Linked DNA regions of Arabidopsis thaliana. The protein of the gene in region 1 interacts with the protein of each later gene in a pairwise test. Each region holds a gene or a part of one and is shown in the gene's direction. Other genes may lie near its edges.

Evidence for each region.
Region 2: the proteins of AT3G52250 (region 1) and AT4G00390 interact in a two-hybrid assay, tested with the Arabidopsis thaliana proteins (one large-scale study listed by BioGRID).

Annotation. Positions count from the first base shown.
Region 1 is NC_003074.8:19,374,349-19,382,300, forward strand, and holds the start of AT3G52250 (Duplicated homeodomain-like superfamily protein), read left to right. Parts: upstream 1-1,789; 5' UTR 1,790-2,038; exon of another isoform or gene 2,039-2,134; 5' UTR 2,135-2,280; coding exon 2,281-2,458; intron 2,459-3,169; coding exon 3,170-4,306; intron 4,307-4,533; coding exon 4,534-5,604; intron 5,605-6,167; coding exon 6,168-7,952. Other genes in the region: AT3G52240 (transcriptional regulator ATRX), read right to left, coding at 162-471, 702-873, 969-1,134, 1,211-1,334, 1,420-1,451.
Region 2 is NC_003075.7:170,712-174,648, reverse strand, and holds AT4G00390 (DNA-binding storekeeper protein-related transcriptional regulator), read left to right. Parts: upstream 1-1,803; 5' UTR 1,804-1,904; coding exon 1,905-2,999; 3' UTR 3,000-3,162; downstream 3,163-3,937. Other genes in the region: GPAT8 (glycerol-3-phosphate acyltransferase 8), read left to right, coding at 1-337.

The DNA of each region.
Region 1 (7,952 bases):
ATACGCATGCAAACCAAATATAGAAAACTGCAGCATATGCACAATTATCAACGCCACATAAAAGAAACTTTGTTGGTTGATTCATATAAACACGAAATATACCATAATCACAATTGATGAAAACAATTTCTAAAGGTCAAAGCCTGAGATATAGGGCATACCAGGGCAGATGATTTATTCTCTCTGAAATTTTTCTCCCATTCCCTTTGAGTCTCTTCCATTTCTTCAAAAGATCCGATAACTTGAGCACGGTTTTCTAACGCTCTCTCCAAGTTGATGTCCGTACTGTTTCCCTTCTCTAAACCATTTGAATTTGACAACTTGTTCAAACTATCGTCTCCCTTCACAACAGCAACATCCACCACGGTTCTAGATACTTGATCATTCTTTTGAGGAAGCATTTCAGTGCGAACTCCATTTTCTTGAAATTCAACCGGATTTCCATCTCTCTTGTAATCCTCAGATACATTTCTGGAAAGTTGAAAAATGTTGGTTATTCTATTACACAACATACATAAGCAAGCTTTACAATTGCTTTACTAATAAAGCGATTTATGATGTATATAATTAGAGAGACGATTTCTAAGCATATAACCTTCAATCTCAAATTTCTAAGCACTGTGTTTCTAGGCAATGCTTGCACAATTTGTAATAGTAAACCACTCATAAATCACTGAGCAGCTAAAGATAACAAAACAGACCTTGCTTCACCACGTCTAATTTGCCGACAAGATCTTCCTTGACGATGTCTCGGTGAGGAAAAATAAGCACACTCGAAACCTCTGTGATGTCTCCTATTCCGGTTTTCCTTGATCTTGTCAGAAGAACCTGGTTCCCTCCTGCGACCTTTCCAGGACAAACTTTTGCCTAACACTAAAAAACAAACAAATCTCCGACACTGAGAGTTGCTCAAATCTCATTAAACCCATGAATCAGAAACTTTCCTCCTATCACATAAAAACTCTAACCTGAGTTACTCTGAGAGTAGCATTCATGATCAGAGTTTGAATCATAATCATCAGACACATCATTATACCCATTTTCCTCTAAGATCGCAAGAACATCAGCAGTTGCCTGTTCAGCCTTCTTCCTCTGTAAAGATACAATCTTGAGCTGTTCCTCTAACTCAGCTACCTAAAGATATTAAGACAGGACATAAGACTAAAGAACATTTCACTGGATCATCCCTACAAATTATAAAAGAACATACTTTATCAGCGAGACCATCAAGCTTTGCTCTAGCACTCTTGGAAACAGCTCTTTCAGCTAATAAACGTGCACGAAGAAACTCAATAGTCACTGAAGTAGGATCTTGTGCCTCTGAATCAATACACCTATAAAAATGTACCAAAACCCAAATCTAAATTTCGATTCGCAAAACGATCTTATTCATCTGGAAAAAAAAAGACAGAACTATACCGATGATGATCTAACTTGTCTTGATTCGCCATCGTGTAGACGAACCAAAAGATCTACGAACTTCGAAGATCGGTGTGAAGAAGAAGACGTCTCTCTCTTTGCTTACACAAGTCAATGAAGATAGTTTTTTTTTTAATCTTTCACTAATGTATTTTACTCTCTTCTCATTGGTTGTAAGTATTTACTAATTTCGATTTTATACTTTTTTGTGTAGTAGACAAAGTCATGGATTTGGATTGAGATTTACAGAAAAAAAAAAGTAAAAAAAAAAAATGTCTTTTTCAGAATAGGAGTAAAATAATATAAATAGAGCGGACGCGAAAAATAAAATGAAATAGAGTTTAATTGGAATCTTTAGGTTACAGGGATTATTTTCTCTTTCCTTCTTCTTCTTCATTGTTCTCTCTCTCTCTATCTCTTCTTCTTCTTCTTCTTCTTCTTCTTCTTTGGATTTTGTGAGCTAATAAACAGAGAGGAATCGCCATAAAAAAACCTACTTTGTCTTTCAACACCGAAATTAAAGGAAATCTCTTTTTCTCTATTGAGCTTTTTTCTTCAGCGGTGAAATCTCCCTTCCTTGTCTCTCAGTAGTGATTTTTACATACAGCTCCGCTCTCAGGTTTCTTCCTCTTTTGATTCTGTTTCCGCTCTTTTTGGGTTTACTTCGGATTTTAATCTTCAGATTGACGAAACCCTAGTTTGATTTTGGTTTCAGAAACGACGAGTCTTCATTGATTTGGTTTCCCCACCAGCTCTTCTTCTTCTTTTTTTGTTCCGAGACCTTTTTGACGGAGGTAGGTACGGAGGGAATCTGGAGTTGGGTTTGAAGGATACTCTTATGCGATTCTTCTGGATAACTTGATGCCGCAGGATCACGCTTCGTGGGATCGGAAAGAGCTCTTGAGGCAAAGGAAACACGATAGGCCTGAACAATCTTTTGAATCCCCGCCTTTTCGATGGAGGGATTCGCCTTCTTCTCACCATGTTCCTCGAGAGTTTTCTTCTCGTTTGGGATCTGGAGACTTCCGCAGACCTTCTTGTAAGACCTCCTTTTCTCTCTCTAATTTAGGGCTTTGAATTCTCCTGCTCTGTTTTTGGTAGAGTCTATTTTTCTGTGGATTTGTTAGATATCCACTTTTCCTTTTTGGTTCTATAATTTTTTTTGAATTGATTTAGAGGCAAATCCTTGTTTCTTAGATTGAGTTCTCACTGTGTCATGATAGCTTAGGGTATTTTTGGAGCATTAACACAGCTCTTAAGATTGATAGGAAGTGAATTGATGAGGTTACTCTTCAAAGGAGCAATTTTTAATACTCAGGTAGATTTAGTTTCATTGCAAGAGGACTTTATTACCTCAATTGTGTTTGTGTTTTGTGTTCATGAATCTTAAAACGGATAAAAAGTCCTAGCATCGTGGAGTGTTGTTAGTTTTAGTTTTACATGTTGTAGATTTAGATGAAGATAGCTCCTACTTTTGCAGGTTTCTTACTTGTATAATTTTTCCTATTAGTATTGAAACCCTGTGTGGGCGTAATGACACTTTTTTCTCCTAACTTGACTTCGTGTTATAATGATTCTAAGTTTGACTTCCTTTTGGAGAATCTTATACTACATGTTTTGACAGCAGTAAAAGTCTAATTTTTTTGGATAGATGTCGTTTTTAGTTTCACAAGTTATATATTTGGTTGAATACAGGTCTTGCTTTAGTTTGTGATTCTCATCTTCCTTTTGTCTTCAAAATTTTCTGAAGGTCATGGTAAGCAGGGTGGACGGCACCAGTTTGTGGAGGAGACTAGTCATGGATACACATCTTCTCGGTCCAGTGCCCGAATGTTTGATAATTATAGGCCATCAGCATCGCGTGGAGACTGGAGATATACCAGGAATTGCAGGGATGATAGAGTTTCTGTAAGCCAAAAGGAATGGAAATGCAATACATGGGAGATGAGCAACGGATCTTCTAGAAGTTTTGAGAGGCCATTTGGTATTAGAAATGGTCGGAGGTCAGTTGATGAAAGGCCGCTACATGCTTCAGATACTCATTCTACCGTGGTGAACTCTTTGGATCCAGCCAACTCGGCTCATTATCTGGACAATGAGATCAGTACCCCAGTACGGTCTCTTAAAATTAAAAATGAGCATAAATTTTCAGATCAAAGGTTATCACTTCCTTCAGATCCTCATTCTGAATGTATTAGCTTGTTTGAACGGCCTTCTTCTGAGAACAATTATGGCAATAAGGTTTGTTCACCAGCAAAGCAATGCAATGATTTGATGTATGGTCGAAGGTTAGTTAGTGATAATTCATTAGATGCTCCAATCCCCAATGCAGAGCTGGAGGGGACTTGGGAACAACTTCGCCTGAAAGACCCGCAAGATAACAATAGTTTACATGGTATCAATGATATAGACGGTGATAGGAAATGTGCAAAGGAGAGTTCTCTGGGAGCAACTGGGAAACTTCCACTGTGGAATAGTTCTGGGAGTTTTGCATCTCAGAGTTCAGGTTTTAGTCATTCAAGTAGCTTGAAAAGCTTGGGGGCTGTTGATTCCAGCGATCGGAAGATTGAGGTTCTTCCTAAAATTGTTACTGTGACTCAATCTTCTTCAGGAGACGCTACTGCCTGTGCCACAACTACTCATCTTTCTGAGGAGATGAGTTCTAGAAAGAAACAACGTCTCGGGTGGGGTGAGGGACTGGCGAAATATGAGAAAAAGAAAGTTGATGTTAACCCAAATGAAGATGGAACAACATTGATGGAAAACGGTTTAGAGGAACTACATTCGTTAAACAAAAATATTGCTGATAAAAGTCCCACAGCAGCCATTGTTCCAGATTATGGTTCCCCTACAACACCATCCTCTGTAGCTTGCAGTTCATCACCAGGTACAATACAATTTGTTAATACTTCTCTCTGCGTGCTCTTCTCATTCCTGATCTATTTGGAGTTATCTGCATTATTTTCATATTACTTGAATTCTTCCATCATGTATCTGTTCTTGTAAACACTGATTTTGTTTTTCTCTTTTTATCATGTCTTCCATTTGTTTTTGTTATCTTCTGCTGGGGACAGTGTAACTCACTCGTAATTTTATTCTTTTGTGTACATTCAGGGTTTGCTGATAAATCATCTCCGAAGGCTGCTATAGCTGCTAGTGATGTCAGTAACATGTGCCGTTCGCCTAGTCCCGTGTCTAGTATTCACCTTGAACGATTCCCAATCAATATCGAGGAGCTCGATAACATCTCAATGGAGCGTTTTGGCTGTTTACTCAATGAGTTACTTGGTACTGATGATTCTGGTACAGGGGATTCCAGTTCTGTCCAATTGACATCAATGAACACATTACTTGCCTGGAAAGGTGAAATTTTGAAAGCTGTGGAGATGACTGAATCAGAAATTGATCTCCTTGAAAACAAACATAGGACACTAAAGCTTGAAGGTAGAAGACACTCTCGTGTTGTTGGACCCAGTTCATACTGTTGTGATGGAGATGCAAATGTGCCCAAGGAGCAGGCTTCTTGTAGTTTGGATCCTAAGGCAACAGCTTCTTCTGTAGCTAAAACACTGGTGAGAGCTCCTGTGCATCAGGCTGGTTTAGCCAAGGTTCCTGCTGATGTTTTTGAAGATAGTCCTGGGGAAGTTAAACCTCTATCCCAATCTTTTGCCACTGTTGAAAGAGAGGAAGATATACTGCCCATACCATCTATGAAGGCAGCTGTTTCTTCGAAAGAGATTAACACACCTGCTTTTGCCAATCAGGAAACTATTGAGGTTTCTTCTGCTGATGACAGCATGGCCTCCAAAGAAGACTTGTTCTGGGCTAAGTTATTATCTGCCAATAAGAAATATGCTTGTGAATCATCTGGAGTATTCAATCAATTGCTTCCAAGAGATTTTAATTCGTCTGACAACTCAAGATTCCCTGGCATATGTCAAACGCAGTTTGATTCTCATGTCCAAGAAAAAATTGCAGATAGGGTAGGCCTATTGAGAGCTAGGGAGAAAATTTTACTCCTTCAGTTTAAAGCGTTTCAGCTCTCATGGAAGAAAGATTTGGATCAGCTAGCTTTAGCAAAGTACCAATCAAAGTCTAGCAAAAAAACAGAACTATATCCGAATGCAAAAAATGGAGGGTATCTGAAGCTTCCCCAATCTGTACGCCTGAGGTTCTCTTCTTCAGGTAAAGTTCTCAAACCTCTTTTCTCTTCTATTTACTCTGATATATTAAGCTTGTCGTGGTTTGTCGCTGTCTGGGATGAAGTTTGGCTTTTATGATGTGTTAGTTGTAGAGACTTGAATTATGTGATTTTTCAAGGGCGTGAGGTGTTGAGAGAAACATATACAACTCTTGAGAACTATTGTTACAGAGCTGTACATAGTGGTCATAATTCATTATTTGCAAGCTAAGTTCAGAGTCATTCCATGCTAACGTGTTTGTTGGATGTTGATAACGCTATTTTAATTTTATGTTAGATGTTGGTTTTATTCTAGTATTATATCCACTGTAATATTCATTTTAACATCTAGCTTGTTTAACGAGGAGGTATAGTTTAAGCAGATGCTTATTTCTTGTCTATCTTTTATGTTGTCGTAGGTAAATATTTGTCTTAGATGCTAACTAGAAAGTATATCAATACGCAGGAGATGATTGCGGTGTAAAAATTTGGGATAATGATCACAGATGAATTGAAGCCTTTTTTCATCGAATTTAAAGTTAATAACTGTTTTACACTACCTGTGCAGCTCCAAGAAGGGATAGTGTAGTCCCCACAACAGAGCTCGTAAGTTATATGGAAAAGCTACTTCCGGGTACCCATCTAAAGCCTTTTAGAGACATTTTGAAAATGCCTGCTATGATTTTGGATGAGAAAGAGAGGGTGATGTCGAGGTTTATTTCTAGCAATGGACTGATTGAAGATCCATGTGACGTTGAGAAGGAAAGAACAATGATTAATCCTTGGACCTCAGAGGAGAAAGAAATCTTTCTGAATTTGCTAGCAATGCATGGGAAGGATTTCAAGAAGATTGCTTCATCTCTTACCCAAAAGACAACTGCGGACTGTATTGATTACTACTACAAAAACCACAAGTCTGATTGTTTTGGGAAAATAAAGAAGCAGCGTGCTTATGGTAAGGAAGGGAAGCACACCTACATGTTGGCTCCACGAAAAAAGTGGAAACGTGAGATGGGGGCTGCCTCTCTTGATATTTTAGGGGATGTCTCCATTATAGCAGCAAACGCTGGAAAGGTTGCATCAACCAGGCCGATCTCTTCCAAAAAGATCACCCTTAGAGGTTGCAGCAGTGCTAATTCATTGCAGCACGATGGAAATAACTCTGAAGGGTGCTCCTACAGTTTTGATTTCCCACGTAAGAGAACTGCTGGTGCAGATGTTTTAGCTGTTGGTCCTTTGTCACCAGAGCAGATAAATTCTTGCTTAAGGACTTCTGTGAGCTCTAGAGAGAGGTGTATGGATCATCTGAAGTTTAATCATGTCGTAAAGAAACCTCGGATATCTCATACTCTACATAATGAGAACAGCAATACTCTACACAATGAGAACAGCAACGAAGAAGATGACTCATGTTCGGAAGAGAGCTGTGGGGAAACAGGTCCTATTCACTGGACAGATGATGAGAGATCTGCCTTTATACAGGGTTTTTCGCTTTTTGGCAAGAATTTTGCTTCAATATCAAGGTACGTCGGGACAAGATCTCCAGATCAGTGTAAGGTTTTCTTCAGCAAAGTTCGGAAATGTCTTGGGTTGGAATCTATAAAGTTTGGATCTGGAAATGTAAGCACATCCGTAAGTGTTGATAATGGCAATGAGGGTGGTGGGAGCGACTTGGAAGATCCTTGTCCTATGGAGAGTAACTCTGGCATAGTGAATAATGGAGTTTGTGCCAAGATGGGTATGAATTCTCCTACCTCACCTTTTAATATGAATCAGGATGGTGTTAATCAATCAGGCTCTGCAAATGTGAAAGCCGACCTTAGTAGATCAGAAGAAGAGAATGGGCAGAAATATTTGTGTCTGAAAGATGATAATAATCTCGTGAACAATGCATATGTCAATGGCGGTTTCCCGAGTCTAGTTTCAGAATCTTGTAGAGATTTGGTAGATATTAATACTGTTGAGAGCCAGTCTCAGGCTGCCGGAAAAAGCAAGAGCAATGATCTCATGTCAATGGAAATCGATGAAGGTGTCTTAACATCTGTCACTATATCTTCCGAGCCATTGTATTGTGGCCTAAGTGTTCTTTCCAATGTTATTGTGGAAACCCCTACAGAAATCTCACGAAAGGGCTCAGGAGATCAAGGTGCTACAATGCCTAAATTTAGTTCAAAGAATCAAGATGGAGTGATGCAAGCTGCAAACAGAACCAGAAATTCTGGCCTTGAACCTGAAAGTGCACCTTCAGGTTTCAGGTACCCTGAGTGTCTTCACCATGTTCCGATTGAGGTGTGTACGGAAAACCCTATAGGCGTCAGTGCACCACGAGGAAATCCAAATTGCCATGCAGAGT
Region 2 (3,937 bases), on another chromosome or scaffold:
ATTCGCAGAGCTAAGCGACCGGATTGTGCCAGTAGCGATGAACTGTAAACAAGGAATGTTCAACGGGACCACAGTTAGGGGTGTGAAGTTTTGGGACCCTTACTTCTTCTTCATGAACCCAAGACCAAGCTATGAAGCCACTTTCTTGGATCGTTTGCCTGAAGAAATGACTGTCAACGGTGGTGGCAAGACTCCTATAGAGGTGGCTAATTACGTCCAGAAAGTTATCGGCGCGGTTTTGGGCTTCGAATGCACCGAACTTACTCGCAAGGATAAATATCTTTTGCTTGGAGGTAATGACGGCAAGGTGGAGTCTATCAACAACACCAAGAAGTGAATATCTTATTCTTGTTATAACTTGGCATTGACTTATTGCAAGTAAGGTTGGATCATATACGAATTTTCATGTGTGTAATTGCTTGAGCTCTTGTCATCATTATGGTACGTTATTGTTATGTTTATTCTATTTTGTTCTTAATGTCGAACGGGTAACTATATCCTTAAAAACTATTTTGTGATCCCGTTTCTATACGGATGTGTATAGAGACTTTCTATTTAAAGTGCAAAATTTTATTGGAGGAAGTAAATTTTGGATCATGCAAATGTAAATACATACGACGTATATATGTTTGAATAAAACTATGTTTCGGTGGAATTGTGAATGATTAATTATGGTTTTTTTTTGTTGCAAAAGTAGCAATTTTTTGAAAAAAATAATTAAATTTTTAACAAACTAAATAAGATCATTGTTAACTATACGCTTTTATAAAAAATCTCTTGACAAAAAAACAAAAAAACTTTTTATTACACTGTCATAATTTCTTTTATTTTTAGAGAAATTAGATTCGTTTTACCGAATTGAAAAATGGTGATATCAATATGAGAGTGTAGCAGACGAGAGATCATGAATTTTGAGTTCCAACGTAGAAATGTCTACATTATCATCATGAGAGTGTTGGCGGACAAGAGATCATGAATTTTGAGTTCCAATGTAAAAATGTCTACATTATCATCATTTAAGTAACAGACGAAAACTTGGGATTTGATGTATTATATTATTGGTGCCAATTCATTAAAAAGAAACTCATATTCCTGTATTTTTTGGGATGATTTTATAAACATTGGCAGTAAGAAATGAATATATTTCTGTATATAGATATTTCTGTATATATACAATTAACAGAAAAATGAAATGAAAGCAAAAAAATCATTACAGTGCGAAAATATGTGAAGCAAAAATGTGAAATTATACTTATTATGATTTGTCATTAATGTCATGATCTAAACCTAAATTATTCTTTCATTACAATTTCTATATTAGTTTTTAGTGGGCTTTAATTATACATAATATTAAACTCCTTCACCAAATATTTGTTAATGAGAATGAGATCCATGAGAATGAGATCTTATTATGATTTGTATGAGAATGAGATCCATGGGAACATTAGGCAAATCAAAGATTTGTATATAATAAGCAAAAATGTGAAATTGTACTTATTATGATTAGTCATTAATGTCATGACCTAAACCTAAATTACTCTTTCATTACAATTTCTAACATTAGACAAATCAAAAATTTTTATATAATAAGATTATAAAACTTAACAAATAATATTCTTTGAGATTTAGAATCTTAATTTAATGACAATATTAATTGTTTAACTCATAGAACAATGGAATTTTAACGGGAACTGCTACATTGGAAATATGAAACGATTTGAATAAGGAAAGCAAATTTCGCAATTATTGTTTGAGAATATCGAAATTGATTATAAATATTCCTTTTCACTTATCATCGTTTCGTCACAAACCCTAAGAAGCTTCTCATCTTCCTCACAAACCCTAAGAAGCTTCTCATCTTCTCTTTCTCTCGAAAATTCCGATTTGCTCTTTTGAAACTTCCGATGACGAAGAAACTCGATCCACCAACGGCACCTTCAAGCGACGAAGATGACGTCGAGACTTCCGAAGATGATTCCTCTTCATCTGAAGAAGACGAACCAATCAAATCCCTTCCCGCCACAACCGCCGCTGCTCCTGCTAAATCCACCGCCGTCTCCGCCGCTACTCCAGCTAAATCCACCTCCGTCTCCGCCGCTGCTCCTTCTAAATCCACCGCCGTCTCCGCCGCTGCTGATTCCGATTCTGGTTCGGAGAGTGAAACAGATTCGGATTCTGAATCGACGGATCCTCCGAAATCTGGATCCGGTAAAACAATCGCTTCAAAGAAGAAAGATGATCCGTCGTCGTCGACTGCTACTTTAGCTTTACCGGCGGTGAAATCTGGAGCAAAGAGGGCAGCGAGTGAAGCTGCGACGACTTCAACGAAACGAGTCAAGAAAGATGAAGAGAGTGTAAAGAAGCCAGCACTTTTTCAAAGACTATGGAGTGACGATGACGAAATCTCTATGTTACAAGGAATGATAGATTATCATGCTGATACAGGGAAGTCTCCTTCCGCAGATACTAATGCGTTTTACGAGTTCCAGAAGAAATCTATCAGCTTTGAGGTTAGTAAGAGTCAATTCTCGGATAAGGTTAGGAGTTTAAGGAAGAAGTACCGTGCTAAAGAAGGAAAGGACGAACCTAGGTTTGTGAAAGCTCATGATAAGAAAGCTTTTGAATTGTCAAAGTTTATTTGGGGACCTAAAGGAATAGCTCTTGATTCTAATGCTAAGTCCAACGGTGTGTCGAAAAAGAGTGCGAGTAAGACGAAGGAGAAGCTTGATTCTGTAAAGCAAGACTTGGCGTTTGTTGGTGTTTCTTCAACTAATGGAGATGATTGGTTTGAGAAGTCGTCTCTTGCTAGGATGATTGCTGGTTCGGGTATTGATGAGTATTATGTGAGGCAGAAATGGAGTTCGTTTACTCTTGAGACTAAGAAGATTGTTGAAGAGAAGTTTCAGTTGATGCAAGCTAAAGAGCTTGAGGCTATGTTGGATAAGAGTGTGCGTTTGACTGACCTTACGTCTTACTTCGTTGATGCTTCGAAGAACTAGAGCTACTAGTTACTTAGATTTGTCGGTTTTTTGTATCGTAATGCTATGCATAATGCTTTCTTTTGTTTTTCGGATTTAGGATTTGATTCTTTCTGGTTTGTTTTTTTGGGGTTGAAAGATTCTCTACGTTATAATATTTATTTTTTTATTCGTCAACTTGTCCTTATTATACCTCATCTTTGTCTTTTAGAAGTTCTTGTACCAACTCCAAGAACGAATCTATGTTCCTGACAAAACCGCCTTGTACCATTGTTAGGTAAAGCTTCCCAACCATAAGCATCTGCACTTTGTAACTTGATTGTGTTCTGTGAGAGTTGGAGTTTGAAAATGATGAGTAAACTGTTACATTGAGAAAACAACTCTTACCAAATGAAGATTTTCTCTTCATAAGTTATTTCCAAAATCAGACATTTAGCAAGTTATACCTACTTTGCATCCAAGTCTGTTGGTCACAAAACAAGACCATAGCAATGCAAATATAGCTTGGTTACAAAAAATTTAGTCACATTGCTTCAGGATGATTTAACTATATAAACAACACAGTTTTTGTGTCTGGTATAGAAGATAACACTGTTTTGTTCAAAGCTTTTGACTTATGAACTACAAAAACTAAAGCTTTGTTACTACTATTAAGATACTGCCTAACTCGTCCAAAATAAGCCAAGAAGAAACCTTAATAAAAAGATTATTGACTATGTTACATGCCAAAATAATCTTAACACAAACTTGTTTGATCATCATTTTAGGTGGCTTTTAACAAGAACTTAAAACAAAAAGCATAAACCAAGATTACAATAATTACAGATTCGAATTCTTTCAAATCAAAAGGTTTAAGAAATTAGTCTCCATAGAGAGCATACGAGCATCCTAATAATTTTATTAGACAAAAAGCTTAACCATTTAATATTCTTCTTCTTCTTCCTGCTTCTCCAATCCTG